Regions from separate parts of the Mus musculus genome. Here all the other regions are reported to be linked to region 1. Evidence: microRNA targets listed by miRTarBase, many of them from high-throughput screens and not tested one by one. Region 1 holds a microRNA gene; each other region holds the end of a gene's coding sequence.

The links. Region 1 holds the annotated microRNA mmu-miR-495-3p (AAACAAACAUGGUGCACUUCUU, at 2,221-2,242, shown strand). A microRNA usually pairs through its seed, bases 2 to 8, with sites in the 3' UTR of a target mRNA and lowers its output. Matches are read on the target gene's strand: a 7mer-m8 pairs with bases 2 to 8, a 7mer-A1 pairs with bases 2 to 7 and ends in A, and an 8mer does both.
Region 2: miRTarBase lists Slc8a1 as a target of mmu-miR-495-3p. Seed matches in the 3' UTR shown: 7mer-m8 at 3,836-3,842.
Region 3: miRTarBase lists Rhobtb1 as a target of mmu-miR-495-3p. Seed matches in the 3' UTR shown: 7mer-m8 at 1,885-1,891, 7mer-m8 at 1,889-1,895, 7mer-m8 at 1,893-1,899, 7mer-m8 at 1,897-1,903, 7mer-m8 at 1,901-1,907, 7mer-A1 at 2,142-2,148 and 2 more.
Region 4: the mRNA of Gsk3b is a reported target of mmu-miR-495-3p. Seed matches in the 3' UTR shown: 7mer-m8 at 1,344-1,350, 7mer-m8 at 2,215-2,221, 7mer-m8 at 3,954-3,960 and 7mer-m8 at 4,063-4,069.
Region 5: miRTarBase lists Cpeb3 as a target of mmu-miR-495-3p. Seed matches in the 3' UTR shown: 7mer-A1 at 1,935-1,941, 7mer-m8 at 1,861-1,867, 7mer-A1 at 1,660-1,666 and 7mer-m8 at 1,594-1,600.
Region 6: the mRNA of Prkag2 is a reported target of mmu-miR-495-3p. Seed matches in the 3' UTR shown: 7mer-m8 at 1,806-1,812.

What each region holds. Positions count from the first base shown.
Region 1 is chr12:109,716,575-109,720,663 of GRCm38, forward strand. Mir495 (microRNA 495) reads left to right here and starts at 2,180; the gene lies at 2,180-2,242. Mir666 (microRNA 666) reads left to right here and starts at 511; the gene lies at 511-609. It overlaps Mir543 (microRNA 543), which reads left to right and starts at 684; the gene lies at 684-759. It overlaps Mir667 (microRNA 667), which reads left to right and starts at 3,432; the gene lies at 3,432-3,523.
Region 2 is chr17:81,385,388-81,389,476 of GRCm38, reverse strand. It overlaps Slc8a1 (solute carrier family 8 (sodium/calcium exchanger), member 1), which reads left to right. Exons shown (of 11, transcript NM_011406.3): 11 at 410-4,089. The coding sequence ends at 786. Among named protein-coding and RNA genes, the nearest start is that of Gm33944, 100 kb to the right of the region's middle.
Region 3 is chr10:69,289,288-69,293,376 of GRCm38, forward strand. It overlaps Rhobtb1 (Rho-related BTB domain containing 1), which reads left to right. Exons shown (of 11, transcript NM_001252637.1): 11 at 233-2,504. The coding sequence ends at 402. Among named protein-coding and RNA genes, the nearest start is that of Gm40685, 21 kb to the right of the region's middle.
Region 4 is chr16:38,239,913-38,244,001 of GRCm38, forward strand. It overlaps Gsk3b (glycogen synthase kinase 3 beta), which reads left to right. Exons shown (of 11, transcript NM_019827.7): 11 at 590-4,089. The coding sequence ends at 657. Among named protein-coding and RNA genes, the nearest start is that of Nr1i2, 53 kb to the right of the region's middle.
Region 5 is chr19:37,021,113-37,025,186 of GRCm38, forward strand. Cpeb3 (cytoplasmic polyadenylation element binding protein 3) reads right to left here. Exons shown (of 11, transcript NM_001290827.1): 11 at 179-3,975. The coding sequence ends at 3,748. Among named protein-coding and RNA genes, the nearest start is that of Btaf1, 97 kb to the left of the region's middle.
Region 6 is chr5:24,860,536-24,864,624 of GRCm38, reverse strand. It overlaps Prkag2 (protein kinase, AMP-activated, gamma 2 non-catalytic subunit), which reads left to right. Exons shown (of 16, transcript NM_145401.2): 16 at 738-1,890. The coding sequence ends at 769. Among named protein-coding and RNA genes, the nearest start is that of Rheb, 20 kb to the right of the region's middle.

The sequences.
Region 1 (4,089 bases):
AGCCAATGAAGGGTGGGGAGGTGCCCTGTAGCCATGTCATGAGGGAGAGAACATGTGTACAAGCATAGGCAACCAACTATCTACCTGGAACACCTAAGAAGTCTATCTTTATTCATGTTCTTTTTTTTTTTTAATCTCAATGTTCCATTTCCCAGCAAGTGGAGGGTCAACAGAATCTGTTCTCAGAACACCACATGCCACTTACATATATTTTTGTCCAGGAGACATTGTCTCGTTCTGACAAAGGCTCAGATATCTTTTTGTTTCCCATTTCATGATAACCTCCTTGCATCAGGGCCTCCACCGTGGAACATAGGTTGATGTCCTCCCCTCTAGCAGATGGGTGGTGACCTCGACTGAGAGGTCACGGGACCCACCTCCTCTCTTGTCACGGATCCAGAGCTGGACTTTGGGAAGCAAAGTCAGGATTATTATATCATTCTCTGATGTTTGAGGAGACTCCAAAGACCTCCCCAAAGGATGACCAATCCAAAGCCTGTCTACAAGATCCTGATTCTGCCTGCGTGGAGCGGGCACAGCTGTGAGAGCCCCCTAGGTACAGCGGGGCTGCAGCGTGATCGCCTGCTCACGCACAGGAAGTGACGACAGCGGTACTCAAGCCACAGGAAGTGACGACAGCGGTACACAAGTGGTACACAGGGTTCCATGCTGCTGACGTACGGTGCTTAATGAGAAGTTGCCCGCGTGTTTTTCGCTTTATATGTGACGAAACATTCGCGGTGCACTTCTTTTTCAGCATCCTATTCTACGTTGAAGACTTCGGGGGTTCAACTACTTACTGACTTCAGGGAAGCCATGTTAGTCTAGGAAAGTAGTCTATGTAGTGAGCCTGGGTTGTGTGAGTTTATCTCCCTTCTTGAATGGTCCTCTGACCTTTCTTAATGAGAATGGGTTTGGGTTGGTTGGCTCCTGCTCCCTCCTCCCTCCTCCACAACACAGTGTCAAAGGAACCAGTTGACCAGACATTATTGATTCCTAGATGAGACCTTAGCCCACAGGGAGATGTTTGCTGAGACTTCTGGGAGGGGAATGAGTCTTCATTTCTGTGAGAGATGTCTGAGTGGATCTCACTGTTCCCTGAGTTTGAAGGCCAGCTAGAATTCAAGAGGACAGTACCCAGGGCTGTTTAGACAGAGGGGGAAGTGCCTGTCCCAGAGGAACCATGGGACATTTGAGTAACAGTACAATCTGGGACCTGCATCCGACACTCCTTGAAGCTCAACACGTCACTGTACCTTTAAGTTATATTAGCCTGGATGCCTCCTTTGTGTGTAAGTCAGCTTGAGGTGGGCCTTTCCTTACTATGAGAGGAATGGATGGCTCCTTGTTGAGTGGCCTGTCAATGAGTGTAACTGGCATTCTTTGGATGGTATGTTCTCTTGCTCATTATTCCCATTGTCCAGTCTAAGGTAGGTAGTTGGTACCAAGTCACTTTCCTTTGTGGTTCAGATATATTGCTGTAGTGTTGTAACCTTCCAGTAACGGTAACACACACTAATCAATGCGTTTTGTTTTCAGGGAAGGGTCGGTCATATGTCCCGTTCAGGACAGCCGCAAGATGATGAACGGACATTGCATCCCCAGACATCTCACACGCTCAGAATCCTGGAGCCTCCCATTTCAACCTGTTCTTCTGCTTCCCAGTACCCTGTGAGCTCTTTGTTGTATTTGTCTACATCGTAAGTCACTTCTGGGTGCGGGAGAGGGGGGACCTCAGAGGGCATCATCCAGGCACTCACACAGCTGGTTTAGGCTGCCCTGGATTTTGCCACCTAGTTCTTTGACTTTTTTTTTTTTTCTCAGCTTCAGAAGAGGATCCTGGAACTGAGAGAGGAGATTCTGTCTTGGAGTTTGGCACCATCCCATTTCCCCCGAGTGACACTTCAGAATGACTGGCAAGGATGGTAGGCAACATCTCAGAATCTTCAGTCTTCGTCCCAGGTCTTCCTGAGATCCTGAGGTAGAGGGGGTTTGGGCTGGATTGCTATGGCAGTGATGAGTACTGAGCCACTCCCCTTGCCTCAGGACCCCCATCCCTGTCCCCCTCCCGGCCAAGTATCTGCCTCACCCACCATCCCTTCCTTCCGCCTGTCCCTCAGCATCCCTTCACACTCAGGCACACTGCTGGAACAAGCAAGAGCTCAGCCGTGGTACCTGAAAAGAAGTTGCCCATGTTATTTTTCGCTTTTATTTGTGACGAAACAAACATGGTGCACTTCTTTTTCGATATCAAATCTCACCTTGGAGAGCTCCCCATGGACCAGAGGGAGGACGGGAGGCCAGGGGGTTTGGGTCACCATGTGCACAGGGGCATTTACCTCAAAGAAGCACAATTTCACCTGCCCCTCTTGGCTCTGTGCATTGTTAGGTCCAGAATGCCCACCTCCTGGGACAGGCACAGTCAGTAAGGGAAACCAGGAAGCGCACTTTTAGGCTCTGTTGTAGGATGGAGTTCAGATAAGAGAAGCCCAGAAAATTATAAAATCCAAACAATAGCAATTTAATCAAACAGCCAATACAAGCCAAACCACCAATTCCTTCTGGAGACATGTGTCTAGATGTCAGCTGCAGGTGTCTTTACCAAGATATGTCAGTTGGTGAGTGTCACATAACACTATGACTCTAGAAAAGCCTGGGCCCCAGATCAGCTCTTTACCAGCATCCTGCCATGTCTACGGGCTGTGCTCTTTGATGCCATTAGCAAGGCCTTGAGGACTGGTGGGTGCTGGCTACGATTGGGACCAGGGAACAGCAAGCTGTCATCAGCCACTGCTGCCTGTCTCTTATCTCTGATACTGGTACCCCTGCCCTCTGGAGTGGTAGATGTAAGGCGGCACTTCAGACCCCTTTTCCCTAGTGAACTTCTCTTTATGGCTAACATTCTCTGGTAGCCTCCTCATGGCATCAAAATTGCCTTTGAGTGTGGTTGTTTGAGCAGGGCCCTTTGGTGGCTCTCTTGTGAGAGTGGGAGGGAGGATACAATCCAGAGAGTATGAGAACACCTCATCCATCCATCTCCCCTGGAGGGTTTCCGAAGCTGAGCCAGTACAAGATATGGGATCACTCTTAGGCAACCCTTTGCTAGGATACTAGCTATTTCTTTCTTTGCTCAAGTTGGAATAAAAGCTTTGTTTATACTTACGTGGCTCAACAACCATAGCGCATCAAAACCCAGTGCAAACTCCATCTAAGAGGTACCAGGATTAGCCACACACTTAGCTCTTAGTTTCTACTGGCTCAGTGATGCCCTTGGGCTGTGGCTGTACCTGTGTTTTGGCTTCTGCCTATAAAAGATGGAAACACCTTTGGAAAAGCAGCAACTCTCCCTTTATACCCATGGAGAAAGGCTAAGGGGCATGGAACAAGCATGGTCAACCCATTTTCTTAGGTTGAAAATCCCTTTCCATCTAGTGGGTACTGGCCTCGGTGCTGGTGGAGCAGTGAGCACGCCATACATTATATCTGTGACACCTGCCACCCAGCCCAAGGCCCCTAGGCCCACAAACTTCTGGAGGGGAGTTTGTCTTGGATTCATCCAAGGAATGCAAAGGACACCTGGACAGAAATGCCTCTGGTGGTCATCCCAAGGTAACCGGACTTGTTCAGTTCCATTTCACATTTAGCTTTGTGCTTTATTGGCAGGCTTCTAAGGGCTGCTATTCACCCCTACATCCCAGGTACGTATAGGCCCAGAGGGAGCCTTCCATCTTTGAGGGTAGAATATTCTCTGGGCACAATACCTCACCAGCTGTCTTTTTCACAGGAGAAGCCTGGGCAGGATTGCCGCAGCTGTTCCAAGAGGCCCCAAGGGACAGTGTCCACATCATGGTGTTTGTTCGTGGAAGATATTAAACGCTGACCTCTTTTTGAGCACAAAATCCCTCCTTGAAGGGCTCTCTGTACCCGGTGTCAGGTTCAGGAACACGATGTGGGCATCAGCCCCTTGCTGATGGTATGTGAGCAGATGTCTGGCCAGATGGCAAGTGCTTTTGTTTATTTATTTTCTTATTTTGAGACTTGAGAGTTTATTGAATGAATCATCCTATAATCCAATTTCCCAAGGCAAAT
Region 2 (4,089 bases), not on the chromosome of region 1:
TCTGGCAACATAGATTATTGGGCCCCAGGGATTATGACCAAGAACAGCTGGATAGAGTCTTGTAATAGTCAGTCTTTTGAAAGTCCCCACTGGATATAGCTATAACTTGGGCTGTAAATAGTCTTGAAAAGGAAAACCTGCCATGCAAGCCCAGTAGACAAAAAGCTATAGTATCTGTGGATAAAAAAAACTTAGCTTACATGACTTTCTCCGTCAGTGATGCAGGCAGCACTAAGCCCTGAGCTCCTGAGATCTGTGTTCTGTTCCTTTGACCATAAGACTGACTCAAAAGAGACAGAGAAGTCTACTGTGGGCTTGAGTCTAGTGTACACAATAGAAGCTCCTTGTACCTCATGACTCTATTTTGAAAGGTTAACTCAGTGTCATGGTCTGTTTCTTCTCTCTGCAGACACATTTGCCAGCAAAGTAGCAGCTACCCAGGACCAGTATGCAGATGCGTCTATAGGCAATGTCACTGGAAGCAATGCTGTGAATGTCTTCCTGGGAATCGGCGTGGCCTGGTCCATTGCTGCCATCTACCATGCGGCCAACGGGGAACAGTTCAAAGTGTCCCCCGGCACGCTAGCTTTCTCTGTCACTCTCTTCACTATTTTTGCTTTCATCAACGTGGGGGTGCTGCTGTATCGGCGGAGGCCAGAAATAGGAGGTGAGCTGGGAGGGCCCCGGACTGCCAAGCTCCTCACATCTTCCCTGTTTGTGCTCCTGTGGCTCTTGTACATTTTCTTCTCCTCCCTGGAAGCCTACTGCCACATAAAGGGCTTCTAAAGGAACAATCAGATATAGTAAATTTATATATATATATGTATACATATATATATACATAAAAATTATGTATAATGAACAGAGGAAACTGACATTTGTCATGTTCACTTAAACTGCTGATGGAATCCAGCTTCAAGAACATCCGTACTAGGCCGGAAGTCAGAAACCATCATCTCCCATTCCCGGGCATCATCAAGTTGAACAAGGCATGGAGGCAGGGTCATCTTGCAGCTCGTCCTAGAAGAGCTATACTCTCTCCGAGTTCTTAAATGGTTAAGGCTTCTATTTGTTTTCTTGTTTTATTTTGTTTTGTTTTGTTTTGTTTTGTTTCCAGTGGTGGGGGGAGAGGGAGGGATGTGGGTGGCTGATGTTTGGCTTTCGGTTTTGGTTTTGGTTTTGCTTTGTTTTGTTTGGAGGGCCAAGATCTTCTCCTTATAGAAAGTAGTGATCCACCCAAAGGGGAGTGGATTTTGGATGAATATTAGAATCATTAAGATTCGCTCCTCACCTCCTCCGAACACTTTAAACATTACTTGGATTAAGGAAGGAGCTGGGCGTGGAAGAAGAAAAAAACCACATCTTCACTACATTACCAAATTGTATGCTTATCTCCGGAATGTGAACAGTGGTGAACTGCCTCCAGAGAGAAGCATGGGAGCTGAAAAGGAGCCAGGAAAAGCAATGGTTCTAGACATAGTTTAAGGATACGGTGTCTGGCACTCTTGTTCAACAGGTACAGGGATAATGTGCCTAGATTCCCAGGAACTCATAGAACCCTTCATCCCTTATTTCTAGCTCTGAACTGTGATTAGCAAGACCCTTACTCCTTCCAGCCCAGCCTGTTCCCCGGGTTTTCCATCCCAGACCTCCTCCTGCCCTCCACCCAGCCCCTGCAAGGAGGAAAATTAACCCCACCCCCAAAGCCCTACCATTTCAGTCATCACGTGTGTCCAGGTCCCATGTTGCTCTTGCCTGGGATTTTCCATCCGTTTTATTTTCAGTGGCATCCATGGCTTGCACAATCCTGTTCCAGTCATGACTGAACATTTGCCCCTCCTTCATGTGCCTGTTAGGGACTGTTGTCGTGATCCCCATTACACAGTGCATGGACGAAAAACAAATAAAACAAAGCGTATCTGTATATAGTAGAGTATAGCAAATACTGTCCTCCCATTCAGCGATGTTGATTGGACATTGAAGACATAAGTGAGTTTTCTTTTCACCTGAGTTGTTCCTTTTGAGTTGTGATTGAGTTTGGATATTAATAGGGATAAAAGAAGAAAATGGCTTATTGTTCATGAATCTTGCACGCTCATTACTAAGAAGCAATAATTGTCGTGTGAAAAGATATTAAAGTTGAGAGGATAGCAGGCAAACTACAAAGATGTCTATGAAATAATAGCCATGTAGAGCACATCAGAGGTCTCTAAGAATCACCCATTAATTCAGGTAGACTGAGAAGAAAGGCTGGGAGACCAGTGGATACTTTGGATGTGCCTGGATTTTTACAGCCACCATTTCCACACCACCCCTCCCCCAACATATTTATTGCACATCTGCTCTGTCTGGCACAGATGATAGATAGTGCTAGTTGATTTTATTAATGGAGAAGGCTGTTTTGAGCCCTGTTTTGTTCACCTTTCAGTTCAGATAGCAACTCCTGAGTGGAAGTCTGAGTGACCAGTGGGACTTTAGAGGTCCACTGGGTATGACTAAGAGGACGTTACTCAAAGAGACTGGGAGTAACCATTGCAAGGAATGACTCTTTCCATTCAAAATACCAAAGAGCAGAGATAAACCCAACATTCCAAAAGCTGTGATTCTACTGATGGGAAATGGGACGGCTTGGCCCATCTCTCAGACACTTCTCTGAGCCTTTCTGGCCCTCTGCGTTGACTCCAGATACTTAAGAGATAAATGTAGCTGAGAACTCCTTTCCCTCCTTCCACTCAGTGATCATAACCATTCATTGTTTAACCAACATGTAGTGACTGAGTGAATAGAAACTTGTTGCCCGTTCAGTAGGCCAGGTAATACTACAACCTGGGAGCAGAACAGTGACCAAGACAGCCCAAATTCCTGCTCCCAAGGGGAATGTAGTGAGTGGGATTCCTCCTCAGAGAGTGAGAGTTGACACTGAGACAGTTTTGATCTTGGAAGAGAAAAGGAATTATGACTTTTAACCTAGGCACATTAAAATTGCACAACAAAGGCAGTTGACCAAATGCTCATGTTTTGTTTTTCCTAAAAGAATGTAATTTTTAGCTCTGGAAAAGTACTCTTTATAGCCTTGGCCAACTCGCAGGTATTTTTATCTTCCTAATTTAGGCCAAGCAGGACACTATGGTGGTGACCAATATCACTGAGAAGAGCTAATTAGCCGGTGTTTAGTCTCTGTGGCAATGGTACCTTTCCATCACAACACTCCACAGGCCACCAACAGTGGTGACAGTGGGGACTCCTCAGGGGAGCCCTCTAAGCCATCCTGTTTTGATTTTTTTTTTAATCTTAATTTTAGATTTTAAAAGTGGAAAGCTAGCCTAGACATACCCAGTAAATCTAGTCAAAGGATATATGTGGTTAAAAACCTTAGAAAGATTTTGCACTGGTTTTTGTTTAGTTCTGTTTTTTTGTTTTGTTTTTAAGCCATCTTCGGAATGTCAATAATTCTGTAGTGAATTTCACAGAGAACTTCCCAAGAACGTCTTGCTGTTGGTCAGTTTCAAGTTCAAGCTTTTTGGTGTGTTTGCCTTTTCAGTCTTCATGCTGTAGGGAAAATCTGATCTGGATCTTCAGGGTTCTTAATTATTATGTGTAAATGATTTCATTTGATTTGTTTGATTATTTTTATTTTGTGTGTATTGTGCACGGCTTTAGGGGGACAGGCACACTCGGTGCTGTTCCTGACAATTGGTACACATTATTGACACAGAAAACAAAAACAAAAATCAATAAAGTTTCTAACTGTTTGTGATTTCATCACCAGTGGCACAGCATGTTCTGTACTGTGGAATGTCCCCTCTCCTCACTGTCACCTACTTCATTTTCAGTTGTTTGTTTTCATGCTCTGAAGAAATAAAGACCAAAAAGGTATCCTTGTGCAATCTATATCCTTATCCATGGGAAAGGAGACAGCCACAATCCAAACCCATACACATGTCAGCCCTTAGCTCATGCTGTGCTTAAATGGCCCACGAGCAGCACGTGGAGTCGGAATGTTTGTCTGTTGTGTGATGCTGTGATAAGCATTGGGTGTACCTTCTTTTCACCATTTTTCCACCTTTTAATTTAACTCTATCTTCTTGC
Region 3 (4,089 bases), not on the chromosome of region 1:
CCTCCCCTCATTTAGGGGTACACAGCCAGGGTCTAACTCTGAATAAAAATCAAGTGGTTTTGGGTCTGTGTGCCTAGCATAGAGTCTACACATTAGACTTTAGTCTCAGCATCTGTGGGCAGCCATGCCAGCATGCTGGGAGGTTTACGAATGGCAAAAAGCAGGACTGAGCATCCAGGACAGTCTTCGGGCAGCAGGAATCACGGGCAGTCTCTTCCCCCTCTCCCCGCAGACAACCAGGAGTACTTTGAGCGGCACCGCTGGCCCCCTGTGTGGTACCTGAAGGAGGAAGACCACTACCAGCGTGTGAAGAGGGAACGAGAGAAAGAGGACCTGGCGCTGAACAAGCACCATTCAAGGAGAAAGTGGTGTTTCTGGCATTCGTCCCCAGCTGTCGCCTGAGGAGGAGAGAGGGGACCGTCACCCGCTAAGGGCCACCTCCACTGTTGACAGCTCTACTATAAAAACCAGTCTCCTTAGCCATCCGCACAGTTGGGTCTGGGGCCCTGGCTTTTCCACTCGTGTGCATTTACCTCCACCAGGATCAAAGCACAAGCCCTGCCACCAATGAGCAGGGACATAAAAGGAAAGCTGACTGACTCTGAAGTCCTTCAACCAGAATGTCCTTTTGGTTTTTTTCTTTCTTGGTTAGGAAGCTACTACACTTCAGTCCGTTACTTTGTTCCTTTTGATACAAAGAAAAAAAAACAAAATCCAGCTTTCGTGTCTCAGATTCCAGATTGGAGAATATTTTTCTATGGACTCTTGTATTTCACTGAGGTGACAATACTGTGTATTACTTTATTTTATAGGCCACACATTGACCACGAAGCTGCCCCCCCCCCCGTGACTCTTTCAGCCCACGTGACCACTGAGCATCACTCATAATTACAGAGTTATCCTTTCGTTGGGAGGTAAAGGGTTGAGCTGAAGAGGCCTGAAGTATTCAAGCTAGAAGCGCTTAATCTTTGCTCTGATGAGCCACGTTGGTATAATTATGTATTTACAGGATCTCCTTTTTAAGTGCTAGTAATTACATGGTTATCCGTGCCATATAGCTACAGTGAGGGCAAATATCCTACTGTTTAAGAGGTCTAGATTCAAAGAGGACAATCCTTACAATCATTACAAGGGCTTATTCCACCCCAATCCTATCAGGGGCATGACTGACTGCCGGACCCGGGTCCCTACAACGCCATTCGAGTCCTACCATTGGATAACTATGTCAGGGTTGGTGACTTAAAAGTGCTCTGTGGTTTTGCTGTGCCTTCACCAGCAAACCGTCCTAGGGCCTGAACAGAGATAAGGGAAAGGGAAAAGGCTCATCCCACTGTCTTCAGGTCAATCACCTCGGCCTCACACCTGAGGCCAACTTCACTTTGTAAGACAAGTTGTTGTTGTTGTTGTTGTTGTTGTTGTTGTTGTTCTTTTTGTTTTTTTAACTCTTCCCAGGGAAAATTCAGGTCACCACTAAAGTAGGCCAAGGCAGACCACCTGCTTCTCCACTCGGTCTCACCACAGAGCCTGTGAAAGCACAAAGCTAGGGGCCAGGTCCTGCCTTCTCCAAGCAGGGAAAGGAGCCAAATCCTAAGAGTGTGGGGAATGGTGCTATTATGTGGTAATTCTGACCCCGGGTCCCTTGGGAAGATCAGTGTTAGAACAGAACTTGCAAAGCAGGGGAGCTCTCAAGCGGCATCAACGTCATTGCCTCTCTGCAGATAAAATGTTACAGTATAATATACACGTGTGTGCACACACACACACACACACACACAATCATCAGAGAGTCACAGCTCCACACCTGCCACGGGATGTCGTGTGCTGGACACCGGGGCCCATTCTGTTGAGAGGTCACCTTACTGATGCTAAGGGCTATTGATTTTTGTTTGTTTGTTTGTTTGTTTGTTTTTGTTTGGGGGAGGGAGTTTCTGAAGACAGGAAAGAGTCAGTTGAGTCCAAATGCCATATGGATTTGAAAAGCTGTGTAGACCACAGGCAGGCGTTTTGTTTCTGGCATGGCCACATACCAGATACAAGAGCTTAGAAAGACCCAGGAAGGCATCACCCTCTTGTGGCAGAGAGGGAGCCGCAGGGGAAGGGGGGCGGGGAGGGGGACAGCTTATCAAGCCTTCCCCCTTAACTTTGTTAATAGGGCAAATGGCTGACGGAAAGAGAAGGTGGGTGGAAGGAAAGAGTACACGTCAAGACTTGAGGAGAAGGAACATATAGCCACCTAGAGGTTCTGTTTTCAGTGAGTAGGCCTAGTTGAACTTCAACAACCAAAGCTCCATCCGCTTGTACTCTTGCCAAAACACAACAGACACATACATGAACATGGGACGAAAGCAATAATATCCTCTCGTGTTCTTCACAGCTGCTGGAACCAAGTGGCTGGTTCATTTGGTTGACACTGATCCGCCTTTAACCACGATGGTTCGTTTTGTGTTTGTTTGTTTTTTTAATTTCACAGAAAGCAAATAAAATTGTTTAGCTATAAAAAAAAATGCCTCGACTTTTGTGTAAAATCCTCACATGTATTTTAATAGCATTTTGAAAGCTACCAGCCCCAAAGGTGTTGCACCCTTGGAGCCACCTGTTGAAACCAAATGGTGAATGACTGCCATTTGTGCTTAGCTATTTTCAGCAGAGATTCCCAACATGTAGATGGGGCATGTGCCCCTTGGCTCTTTCTTGAACAATACCATGGCTCACTTAGTCTTAAGGAATGGAGACCATGACATCTCCATTCTGTTGGAATGGTTGCAGTGGGAGGTTTGCAAATCCTCACACAATTAAATATAAAAGGTCTCTACTGGTAGGCCCATGAGGAAGTTCTTCAAATGCAAGTCTGAGAAAGACTCTGCAAGGCGCTATCTATAACAGCTAGATGTAAGGTTACCAGAGCTTCCATGGAAGCAAGGGCTTTCATGAGATCTTACGGAGGGGCTGAGTTCTTTGTAACTGCATGGGGAAAGAGTCGAACCTCGCTCAGACAAGCATAGGAGACAAGCAGTGAAATGCATCCAGCACCTCCCGTGCCAATACACAGCTCCACTCATGCGACTTTGCACGTAGGCACAGCAGTGCAGTCAGAACCTGCACACAGTTCTACTGTAAATTCTTCCTGGAAGCCTGAAACCCCTGCATGGGTCTTAGTACCTCTAGAGAAGCACCTTGGAGATTGGGGGGGGGGGGGCAGGGCACAGATCCTACTGGTTTAGAAGGAGCTGAAATACTCTTAGATGCCAGCAGTCAGCTTCAAAAGCTCAAAGATCCTAAAACTCCAAGTTCTCCAAATTCGGCTTTCTTGTCTCTTGACACTGGCTAAATTGTACCAGAGGGAAAGCAATCTGTCTCCCAAGTATGGGGATGTTGGTGCCATGTTTCTGAATGAATCCTTTGTAGCCCAAGACTCACAAGTCCTTCTCTTGAATTACTTCCTTAAGATGATAGATAGATAGATAGATAGATAGATAGATAGATAGATAGATAGATAGATAGGATAGGATAGGATAGATAGATAATAGATAGACAGACAGACACAATCAGATTCTGGTATGCAAGCAGCAGTAATATCTATCTCCGAAAGAATTTGACCATTGCCTAAAAGTTGTTGCCGAGGTGAAGGCTGGCCATAAAGAATACGTGTGTGCAGTGTGTGTGTGCATCTGTGAATGTAAGCAATCACAAAGCAACAAGAAGCAGAAGCAGCAGGCGCATAAACGGGTAGGAGCCATTAGCAAAAGGCATGGGGTTGGGTTAAGCACCTAGGCCATGGCTGTATGTACCTGTACTTTTAACTTTTACTGGATTCTTTTCCCTCTACCACCTTATGCCATCCCTACCCCTTCCAACCTCCCAACACCAGGTAGGAGAGAAAGAAGGTTAGACGGGAAAGGGGGTTTGATCTCTTTAGACCACTTCCTCCCGATTAGGGGCTTAGAGTTCCTTGGGGACAAGTCCAGTCTCAGTCGGCAAGATATCTCCAACCAGCAACCAACAACCCAGCAACCCAGCAAACCAACAAAGAGCATCCAGGTACATCATCAAGAGCTGCAACCAGGGGAATAGCAGCCGCCACAGCCTTTC
Region 4 (4,089 bases), not on the chromosome of region 1:
AAGTAGAACTAAAAGCATTCCCCTGTTGACTGCCCCCTAGTGGGCTAAAGGAATGGAAGGGCAGATTATTTGAGGAACAGGAAAATGCAGAGTTCAGAGAGGAAGTGCAGTTTTTAGAAAGTGGTCGTGAAGTTGATAAACTGAACAGCTTACCCTTAAGTGGTAAGGTTCCTATGTGTTCTTGGCATCTGCTGTGTCTTCACTTGTCCAGGCCCTTAGCAGATGGCCTGTTGGAACACGGCTCAGGATCTTTAGCTAGTGTCATTTATTTTCAGTAAGCTAGACTCCAACCTGAGTACTGCCGGTCAGTACTAGCTATAGCAAAGCCTTGACAGAAGTGACCTCAAATTCCTGAGTCTGTGATGCATTAAGTGTACTGCCACACGCACATACACCACACACGCATGTGCACGCACACTTGTGCCATCACTGAGCTCCTAGCAGAAAGGAAGTCCTGGTGCTGTGTGTTTGAACCCACATAGGCAATGACAGCTCTGGTAGGCCTCAGCACTGTGCGGTGAGTGGTGTACTTGTGCTCTTTGCAGTGTTATAACGTTGCTCACGCTTTCTTGGGCCTTTGGATTTGCAGATACTAATGCTGGAGACCGTGGACAGACCAATAACGCCGCTTCTGCATCAGCTTCCAACTCCACCTGAACAGCCCCCAGGAGCCAGCTGCGCGGGAAAGACCAGCACTTACTTGAGTGCCACTCAGCAACACTGGTCACGTTTGGAAAGAAAATTAAAAAGAGGAAAACAAAAACAAAAACAAAAAAACCCTGTTCATTTTAGTGTTCAATTTTTTTTATTGTTGTTCTTATTTAACCTTGTAAAATATCTATATAAATACAAACCAGTTTCATTGTATTCTCACTTTTCAGGAGATCCAAGAGGTGGGGAGGGTTGGGCGGGGAGGAGCAGAGCATTAAACACAATCTCTCCCACGACAATCTTTTCTTTTCTTTTTAAAGTCAGAAGTCCGCTATTGTATACCTTAAAAACCAGACTCCTGCCTCACGCCCCCACCGCAACAGAAGAAAACCTGTTCTGTGCTGGTTTATTTTCTGGATTTGTTTTCTTTTAAAGCCTGGCGTAAGACTTTGATACAGTGCACAGCTTGAAATTGGTTGGGAGCTTAGCAGGTGTAACTCACCAGGGACTTACTGTCACTTGTACAATGTGTACTTATCCTTAGGATTTGAAGACTTGCCTTTGGCGTGTGATGTCAGGTATGACAGACAAAAAAAAAAAAGACAAAGAAAAACCAAGGTGTATTATTGGTAGCCCAGGGAGGTCACTAAAATCTGAAGCTCTAAGGGAAGATCAGAGATGGATTACTTAAGGTTTGTTTTGCTCTTGACCAGTGCAGGTGTTGCAGATGCCAGCTTAGGAAGGCTGCTGCCAAAGGAGAGAGCGCGACAGAGTCTGTTGGGCCCTGAGGTAGATCTTGGTTCACCTGACCAAAGGCCGCCTGCTTCTCCCGGTATTGTTTTGAGCTGGTACCCTAGGATGAGGCTGGAGATGGTGTTAAGGGGGCAGCTCTGGGTGCATCGGAAAGCGAAGAACAGGAAGGTGGCAGGCCAGGGGCAGATCTCACCACTGTGAGTGAGCTTGTCCAGATTTTAATAAAGTCGTTTCCCTTAGAAAAACACTTGAGAGAAGACATCATAGCTAAGTAATGTGAACTGTTAGCCAGCCTACTGCTTTGTTTTCCTTACTTTAATTGAAAACCAAGCTTGCAAGAATTGCCACATTCTTATGCATAGCTCTAATTTTAAATCCAAATCTAGACTCTGTATTTAATTTCTGCTTTTTTAACATCATGCTTTTTAAATTTATTTATTGATGCATGTCAGATCGGCCACTATGATTTTAAGTGGTAGTAATATTAAAAACCACACATCAAAATAATAAAGTCACTTGTATCTGCTGACTTTATAGGAAAACTGATTATATTAATGTGTATATATGTTTTATATATACATATATTCAATACTGCCTTTTCTTTTTGTCTACAGTATCAAAATTGACTGACTGAATCATGAAAAGAATGTTCCCCCACCATCACCATTAAGAGTTTTATTTTTGTTTTCTTTGTTTATCAATGAATGGTGTAAGAATCAGTCTCTTGTTTTTTGAAGAAAAAGCAATATTCCTTGGAAAGCAAGGTGGATTGAAGGATTACGTTTGTGTGAGGAACAGAACTCATAACTAGTTTGTTGATACTTTTAAGGTTGGTGTCTTTGTGGGCCTTATATACTCTAAAATGAACCTTGGTGCTTATGGGCCATTACTTGACCTATGAATCTTTAAGGCACAATCAGTTATCTTTTACATTTAAAGATCACTTGAGTAATGGCCACCGCTCCTTCCTTCCTTCCCACTCCCTCCCCACACATCTGCTAAGGTGAGCTGATGACTAGGGCTGTAGGGCCCTTGGTTATGTATGAGACACAGACTCCTTTACCCTCATTACCTGACCTTAAGTCACGTTGAGGTCTTGCCCTCCAGGTGGTTAGGAAGAGGAGTCTCTTGGCGGCCCTTATACAGGCCCTAGCACCCTGCCTTGCTTCTCCGACCGTGTGTGTAACTCTCCAAGAGAGTTGTATTGTCTGCCGAAATGAGTTGATGCTAGAAAGACATCAGTGAGGCTGTGCGGCTGGCTGATCTCTTCAGGCCACCGAAGGGGTTTCTCAGACCTCCGTTTAGATCAGACTTGACAAGAAAGGAAGCAAGCCCAAAGCAAACAAAGGCGCTTTTGGTAAAGCGCTTCTCAGATAATTGCCGTGCGAAAGACTTCTGAAATTAAGTTATTTGACCGCATAGTTCCTTGAAGGGGGTGACTTGGAAGACCATTTTCAGAAAGAATTTGTAAAGAATCTGAGCAAGCAGGTCTGTGGCCTGAGAAGGGAACCTGCTTTCAGATTAAACTGCCCAGCCCGACACAGACAGTACTCCAGACTTGGTGTGCGTGCTAGAGTCCATAAAAGTCAGTGCTTGTTAGTGAATACTCCCCACCCCCAGATACGGGGTAAGAGAAGAGTGGAGGAAAGTCAGGTGCTTTTCTCTGTGTGTGTGTGTGTGCGCGCGCGCGCGCGTGTGTGTGTGTGTGTGTGTGTGTGTGTGTGTGTGCGCGTGTGCGTGTGTGCGCACATGTGTGCGTCCGTGTGTGTGTGAGTGTGTGCCTGTGTGTGTGCGCGCGCGCGTGTGTGTGTGTGTGTATGTGTGTGTGTATGTATGTGGGCATGCATGCATATATGAGGGCTTAGGTGCACGATTTTTCTTTCTCAAGGATCATGGCAGGATCCCAGAACTCTTATCCAAGTGAGATCCAGGTCTCTGAATATCTTTTTGTAAATAATAATTAAAAGCTCCTCACCAAATTCAAGCTTGTATATTATATTTTCTTTCAATGTTTTTAAATTTAAGTTTTATTGTTTTGTATGTAAATATGTGGACCCAGGAACTGTTATTAATGAGCAAAAAGTTACTGTTCAGGGCAGTGATTCTGTTCAATAACCAGACAAAAATGTAGACGAGCTTTTTAAAGCCATATAGTTTTAACTCTGTACAGTAGGTACCGGCCTGTATTATTGTAACAATAACTCTAGCAATGTATAGTGTATCTATATAGTTTGGAGTGCCTTCGCTTCCATGTTTTTGGGTTTTTTTGTTTTGTTTTTGTTTTCTGACTTCCTTTATCCATGTGTCCCTGTGGCCCCCTTTCCCTCTGAGTAACAGCAGAACAGCACCTTTGCCCACTCCACAGTTTGAATGGGGAGAGGAAACCATGTTGGCAGTCTCACTTCATTCTAGCCTTGCCTTTGTTTTTGGTTCTGGGTGTGTCTGTGTCCTCAGTAACAGTGACCGGTTTCATTGCGGATGCACTCAGTCCGTCCGGGACTTGGTGGAGCGCTGGGGGCCCCAGAGCTGAAGGGTGTCAGATGGCATGGGTTTGTTCATCGCCTCTCCAAGCCCTGGAGTGGATCCTAAGCAGATTCTGGGAGCTCCCGAGCTTGCTCTCTCCTTACCTACTTCCCTCCCAAATGAGAGAAAGATTGGGTTTGTTTTATTTTTAAAAAAAAAAAA
Region 5 (4,074 bases), not on the chromosome of region 1:
GGCTTCACACCCAATGCTATTTCAGGAGGGGTGACTTCGTTATCTGGCCACGGATTTGGCTGCTTGGCTGCATCTGGTGTTGTATAAACCCACTGTGACATCCTTAGAGACCTGTACTGTGACATCCCTAGTCTTACACTGAACACTGTAATAAAGGAAAAGGCTTGTTGAGATCTCGCACGTTCTGCTCATTCTGTCGTTTTATTATCCAATTGTCCGTTACAGTCCCAGTCACGTTACAGAACCAACCGTTTCCACCCTTGTCATATTGTAAACCACATCGGCAAGTTAATACATAAAGCTTTGCATTTCAAAAAACTAGACACTTTAGTAACAATATTACAAAGGTTTTTAGCTTCAAAAATAACTGAAATGAAAAAAATAAACCTTTAAAGAATTAGCATCATAAAATTAATTTATTCCAAGTAAAAATACAAAATAATATTATGACGTTGACCAGATATGAAAGTCCCTCCCAGAAACAACTCTAGTAATGATTGAGAAAGCACTCCTTAAAGAAAATACGAAATAAAATGAAAAATATGTAAATATGTTTAATTTTTTTTCTTAGCAAAAAATCTTTCTAAAAATAACAATGAAAATTTGTCTCAGTACAAAGGCTACGTTACTATTGAAAAAATACCAGCATGAGGGAAAGGTACATATTTGACAGTAGAAAATGAGTTCTGTGAGTCACAATGTCTAAAGTCTGCAATGAAAATAAGTCTGCAATAAAGGTTTAGGCCTTTTTTCTTGTCTTTTTTTTCTATTTTTTATACAAACAGTACAAACAGTATTGCACATAACAACAAAGAGTCGAGGTTAGTTACAGCCTTCAAAAAATCCACTAGTTCAAGTGTCCCATCAAGGAAAGGCCACAGCAGGACCTGTGTTACCCAGGGGCTTCCCAGTCAAGTTGCAGGGCAGAACACCTCTGTGTTTTTTTTAAAAAATAATTTTTTTGAAGGACCCTCTCTTTTAATATAACATTAAGAACTTGGGGGGGGGGCACATTTATTTACAAAACAAAAGGGAACATGTTATAATTTAATAAACTAAAAAAGTTCTCTTTAAAAAAATACAAACAGAAGAGCTCTTTCACAGTCCTGGCCAGTCACACGATCAACACTTGATTATAAATATACAAATTAAGGGAAAGCAGTTTCCTCAGTCACAGCCCTCAGCACCAAGTGGAGTCTCTGACAACCTGGTCTCTGCGACACTGTGGCCTTCGCGCTAGCTTACACTGCGCAGTCTTCTGGCTCCTCTAGAGCTCAGGGTTATTTTAGTACATGAAAGAGGGGTGCTTCTTCCAAACATTTGCATGTTTCACATAATTAGGTAGATTTCTGTAGGTTAGATATGATCTTTAATATTATAGTTATAAAGCTCTAACTTCTTCATTTTCAAAAAACACAAATAAGCATGAAAAAAATAAAGTTACCCATCTGTTAAATCATTTTCTTGCAGAATTAAATTAATATATATTTTCTGAATAAACTTACTTAGAAAATATCATTTTCTTTCCTATATTTCAAAATTGAGGTATTGCAAAAGATCATGTCAGTCAGAAAGCATGCCTTTTTCCTTAGAAACAAACAAGCGAAAATCATCAGCCAACTTTTGAAAACGTTCTAGAATATAAAAAGTAGTAGTGCGTAACAAAATTTCCCATACAGATGAAAACAAAGTAAAACACAAACATAGAAAAAGGAACCAAAGCAAAGCAAAGCACATCTGGGCTGCAGGAAAGCAGTATTACCAAAGGGTCCAGGGGAAACCCGAAAGGGGGAGGGGTCTAATAGGCATCTTTTAATTCAGTAAAAAACTATTCTGTTTCTCCATTTTTTTTTTTTTGAAAACAAACTGTAGCTGGAGAGCCAGTATTCACAATTAAACACTGGAGAGAAAAAGAGAAAAAAAAGAACCAACTATAACAAAACCACACAACAGTAACTTCAAGACAGAACAAGGACATCACAGCACAAAAGACACATTGACTTCTGTCTACTCTGCAGTGCCACATCCAGTCAGATTGTCCCCAGAATGCAAAACAAAGGAAGAAGGGTTTAAAAAGCAAGCGTTACAGAGTCTTGCAATCACCACGTGTCTCCGTTACTCTCTGCAGCCCAGGAGTGAACACTAAAAGGTCCGCGCTAGCACGAGCAGGGCTTCACTCTAGTCAAGCTATACAGGATGCATCCAGGGAACTAAGCAGTGACCGTCTCACAGAAGGCCCCTCTGCCCAGGCTGGCTCGCTTGGTGCAGACATTTCTTTAGCATCACCCTTACGTGGCCTCCTTAGCTATGTGCCTCCGTGTCAGTCTGCCGACTTATTCTAGACACTGTGTGTGTTCTTAGTGTTTGTAAGCTGAGCTCTTTGGCTGTCTGGACAAGGTCTGAAGCTGGGTGAAGTGGTGCAAGCACCAGGAGAGGTCCTAACTCGGAGCTCGTGTGTTAATACACCAGTTATGAATGGTCACGCTCATCCACGGCTGACACGGCTTCAAACAGTTACGTTTGATCACAGTTAGACATAATCACTTTACTATATAAAATAAATTGCACAATATGTAACAGAGCACCGCAGTACTTCATCCCCCCCCCCCCCCCAGGGTTACTGGAAGAGCATCCTACACTAGGTTGTCTATTGGTTGTAATACTGGTCGCCCTGTTACAGGCTCTCGCTGTCCACGGGCAGTCCACCCACTGAGGCATGCCTTCCTCCCACAGATTACCAAGTCTTTGAGTGAAAAAGAAATTCTTTTTAAAAAAATGAGTATTTTATAGCTTATATAGATTCTTAATTTGTGCACTGTGGGAAGGTTTTATACTAGACATTGGATATAAAATTTATTGCATGCAGCAACCGCATTAAGTAAACATGCAGTCAGGAACGGCGGCCTCCGATGGCTCTCTCTGGTCTCATATGATCTCCCTCCGGCAGCTGGCTCTATCCCTAAACCACAAAAGTGTGTTGTTGGGTTCTTGTTTTTTGTTTTTAATTGATACCTTATCCTGAATAGAGTATTATGGTATCAACAATACCATTTTAATAGCAGCAAAAGCTATTGCAGCATAAATTTACATAACACTAAAAGATCTAACCCAAATCCTCAGCAAAACAAAAAATCAAACATGAAGGAAAATGAAAGACCCAGCTTGTGAGGTATCCATACACGTCAAAGTACAGAGCAACTACAGGCTTATTTTCATTAAGGGCTAACCTTACTCTACGTGACCCCACTATTGAGTGCTGATTGTAAAGTGTTTGCTACGTCGGCCTCTACGTACATGTGTGGCCTTTGGTAAGTCTTGTCCTAGGGGTGACTCTCTAAGTCTCTGAAAATAAGCGTGCTCCAGTCAAGACCAATCAGAGCAACGACAACACGACATCAAACACAGAGTCACAGACGTCAACCTGACGGCTGCGGATGAGAATGGCAGTCTACGGAACTGTGGAGGTGACAGACAGGTCAGGTATAAGAAATCAAGGTACCAAGCAGACAAGGTGTGAGTCAAAGGTGCAAATGGGTACCGTTACACACTCTGTGATTCTGCATTATACTGGACGTTGAGTTCAGTAATATGACTGTAAATGATAATAATAATAATAAAAAGACCCATTTCTTCTTTAAAAATCGAGAACGAATGCACAGATTTCCAGAACACCGTGAGCCCTGAGGCAGTGCCCTCTCTTCCTCCTTGTGATCTACTCCAGTACTTGTAGCTGTGGCGGCCTGGGGCTCAGCTCCAGCGGAACGGGACGTGCCGGGGGCGGTCGCCTCCCTCCTTCACCAGCGGTTTGTGGAACTCACGGCCGGCTCGGGAGTGGATGCTGGCCCAGCAGTATTCACAGTAGTACTGCAGACAGGTGACGTTGGCACAGAAGAATGGGGCAAACTTCCCCCCGCAGCGTGTGCCCTGACACTCGTCACACATCTGATCATCCAGCACGTACGGCTTCACTTCCACCTGGACCCAAAGAGGAGAGACAGGAAACGGGTCAGCAGGGCTTCCATCTGAAGCTGCGTGGGCTCGACTGGCTATCTCACTTGTAAAGCGCACAACCCC
Region 6 (4,089 bases), not on the chromosome of region 1:
ATTATGAGAGATAAGTCCAGCCTCCACTCACACCGTTATCCCCAGCACTCGGGAGGCAGGGGCAGGCAGATCTCTGTGAGTTCAAGACCAGCCTGGTTGATAGAGAAAGTTGTAGGACAGCCCTCTGCTCTAGTACGTTATTAATCTCTTTCCAAGTTAAGTGTAGCCTGACACAGTATGCCCTCAGAAGGTAGAGAGGCCAGGAGCTGGAGAGATGACTCAGAGGTCAAGAGCACTTGCCTGCTCTTCCAGAGGACTCAGGTTTGATTCCTGGCCCCCGTGGGCATTACGCATACATGGTATAGCGATTCATGTAGGCAAAGCACCCATACACATGAAATTGTTTTTAAAAAGGTTCATTCAGGTGAGAGCTGGAGAGGTGCCGTGGGTAGTGCAGTGGCTTTGCCTGCGTCTCCTATGGAAACCCAGCGGCTGCACACGGTTGTCTTTAGATGTGTTGTAATGCTTTGTTTTTTTAAAAAAGTAATAATCTTCTGAGTGTGGCAGCTGGAAGAACCCTGCCTGCTTATTTTTACTTTTTTAGCAGTGGAATCGACACTTAGAATGGGAAGGTGTGATAAGGGAGCCGAGGTGATGGTGGGAGGGGTGGGGCTCTGTGACCACTTAACTCCTCCTACCTCTCTCTGTCTGGAAGCCACTGCCAGGCTGGGTGCAGGGATCCTGGCCTCGGCCTCGAGCACAAGCTCTGAGACTCCCACTTTCCATCTCCCTGGCAGGTGCCAAACAGAAGGAGACAGAGACTGAATGACCGCCGTGAATGTAGACGCCCGCGCAGGAGAACTTGAACAAAGTCTCGGGGTCACGGTTTGCCTCATGAACACTGGCTGCAATAGAAGAGAGTAAAATGGCTAAGAATGTATACCAGGGTTTAGCGATGGGTATTTTTCCAGTGATTTGTAAGTATAGGAAAAGATTTTATGTGCTTGAAGATTCAGGCTTGCGTTCAAAGACTGCCCTCAGACCTGTCTGAAGGATTTTCAATGCTGTATGTCATTAAAGTGCACTGTGTCCTGAAATAGTACTACTTTTCATTTCAAAGAAGTCACTGGGATGGAACAGGTGACAGAAAGTGAGTGAACGGCACGTCCAGATCACGGTGCCTTATGTCCAAACGCAATATGTCACCGCCGCTGCCGCACGCCCCAAAGTGCTGCTGAAGAGACACCCAGCCCAAGTGTGAGCATCTTCAGACCTTTTACCCAGTCTCTTCCTTTTCACTTAATTGGTTGAAAAGTTTTAATTTGAGTACAGGCAACTGAAAATGTGATGTGATGCCTCTAAGCGCTCTGCATCCGTCCTGTTCTGGCTGCCGTGTTAGCGAGGCCGGCTTGGCAACAGCGCTTTATTTATTTTTACTCTCATGCAGGTTTCAACCTACATCCTTTGGTGAGTAGACGTCACCATACCTACGAATAAAACCTTGATTGTTCTCTCAAGTGGAAAATCTCTGGAGATTTTAGTTTGGATCTGGAAAGGCTATGCCTTCCAAACAGCCACTGTAGGGTCTTCTAAACGTTTATGAAAACAGGCTGTGGTCGCAGGGAAGAAGTAACGGAAGACGTCTTTTTTTTTATTGTGTGTTGAAATGTAAACTCATGATGTTTGTGTGACCGCTGACAAGACGCTTGTAACTTTTATTGTGACACATAAAACAGTATTGTCATGCAGTTGAAGGGAAACTCTTTCCCCTCCCACACCCCACAACCCCCACAGCCCCCAGTGTCAGTGCTCTGAAAATGTTGACACTATATATCTGTGTGTGTATATATGAGCAGAGTTTGGGGGTTTGTTTTGGGGTTTTGTTTCGTTTTGTTTTTCAGATTGAAAATTAAAATAAATCCTGTCTACCAGTTTGCTAAAGTTTTTATGTATATGAGTACTGTTGCTCTCTTCAGACACACCAGAAGAGGACATCGGATACCATTACAGATGGTTGTGAGCCACCATGTGGTTGCTGGGACTCGAACTCAGGACCTCTGAAAGAGCGGTCGGTGCTCTTAACTGCTGAGTGGTCTCTCCAGCCCAAAATAAATCTGTTTTAAAAAGAGACCCATCACGTGAGCTGGGGGCAGCAGCACACTCCTGCCAGTGCAGCAGGTAAAGACGGAGACCTTCCCAGTTTCAGGGCTGCCCGCAACCTGCATTCAATCCAAGGCCAGCCCAGGCTGCAGAACAAGGCCCGGTCAACAAGAATCATCATAGAAGCTGGTGGGGGTGGATTTCTTTTTAATCTGTGTATATGCTAAAGTATCAATTTATTTCCTAGTTGGGCAAATAACTGAACACATGCATACCTACCCCACCCTCCTTGGAAACAGCAGTGGCTTAGGTTGATGCTCAAACCTACAGAATACAACCCTGCAGTATGCTTACCTAGTTTACTCATTTGATGTCTGCCTCTGGGCATGGGCATCTGAAAGACAACCCCCCACCCCACCCCCGCTTGCCCCACATCACTTTTCTGATGTAGTTTCACAGGGAAGACAATACTCCACATTTGTCCCTACTTGCCACTGTCACAAATTCACCTGATCCTTTCCAGTAAGAAAGCACCAAGCCCAGCCAACTGTCACCCCCATCTCATCCTGTATGCCAAGACTCTCTCCCCCTACCCCAGGGGAGTCAGTCCACATAGTCATCCAGCCAGAGGCAGAGCCTCTCATGCCCAGTACATCTGCTCTGGAATAGCATGCGAGTGAACATGAGTCCTGGAATAAACACTCAGGAACATGCACACACGTCTAGCTCCTAGGTGGTTTGCTGTGAGTTTTCTGATTCCTCTGACACTGCCAGGCTACACTGCCACCTGTGACGTTAGCATGGTATCTTCTAGGCCCAGCCCTGGGCTCTGCCTGTCAACCGACAGCTGGCCACACAGGACCAGTGGCTACTTCATGAGAGCCGCTCCTCTCCCTCCCTGCTGTCTCTGGTGCTGTGGCCCTCACTCAGGGGCTTTCTGTACTTGACAGTTTTGATTAGCAATCACCCCAAGAGCTGCTCCTAAAATAGTATATGACAAGAGTTTCTAGAGGTACTGCAGCCAGCAGAGCAGGGTAAGGGAGTGATGCCTTCCTGGCCTCAGACCTCCGCCAGCTCCACGAGTCTCACCGGGAGGACACTTTTTCTCGTCTATTGATTGAGACAGGCTTTTGGGTAGCCCGGGTTGACCTCAAACTCATATAGCCCAAGATAACCAAACTCCTGATCCTCCTCTCTTAACACCTAAGTGCTGGGATAAGAGGTGCGTGCCACAGCACCCAGTTCACGTGGTGCTGGGGACTGGACCCAGAGCTTGCTCTGCATATGCCAGGTGAGCAGTCTTCGGCACATGCCAGCCCCTCTTGTGTTGGTTTTTGTTGTTGTTGTTTTTTCAGTGAAGGAGCCAAGCCCAGGCTTCACACATTGGGCAACCCTCCTACCACCAAGCTACACCCCACCTCTGCCTGAAGTAGTCCTTGCATGCCATCTTTATGTACAGCATGTTAATGGTGTAGCTGAGTCCATGCCATCCTGTCCTTTTAAATGACTGTAGTGGGTTGAACTGTCTCCCACAAAGAATCTCTAATATCCTCGTGCCTGGCTTACCTGACAACACTGGCCTGATTTAGAAACTGGGTCTTTGTGGAAGGATCAAGTTAAGATGAGGTCATGTGGGTGGCACTGGTCCAGTGGGACTGAATAAGAGGGAAATCTGGACACCGACACGCAGGGAGAAAGCCACGTGATGATGGCGACAGAGAACAGTGAAGCAGCCAATGTGCCAAGGGAAGTCACAGATCCTTGGCAGTGCCAGAAGCTTGGAAGACAGAATGCACACGCACACACACACACCACCGCCAAGAGCCTGCAGCCTCTAGAGTGAGAATGCTGTGCTGCTGGAAGTCACCCAGCTTGTGCTACAGCTACAGTAACCCACGAAGCTGACACATACATCTCCCCCGCAGCCTATTAGCTGCTTTTCTGCAGCACAAAGTTGACAAACATGCTCACTCTCCCTCCTTCCTTCCTTCCTTCCTTCCTTCCTTCCTTCCTTCCTTCCTTTTTTCCTTCCTTCCTTCCTTCCTTTTC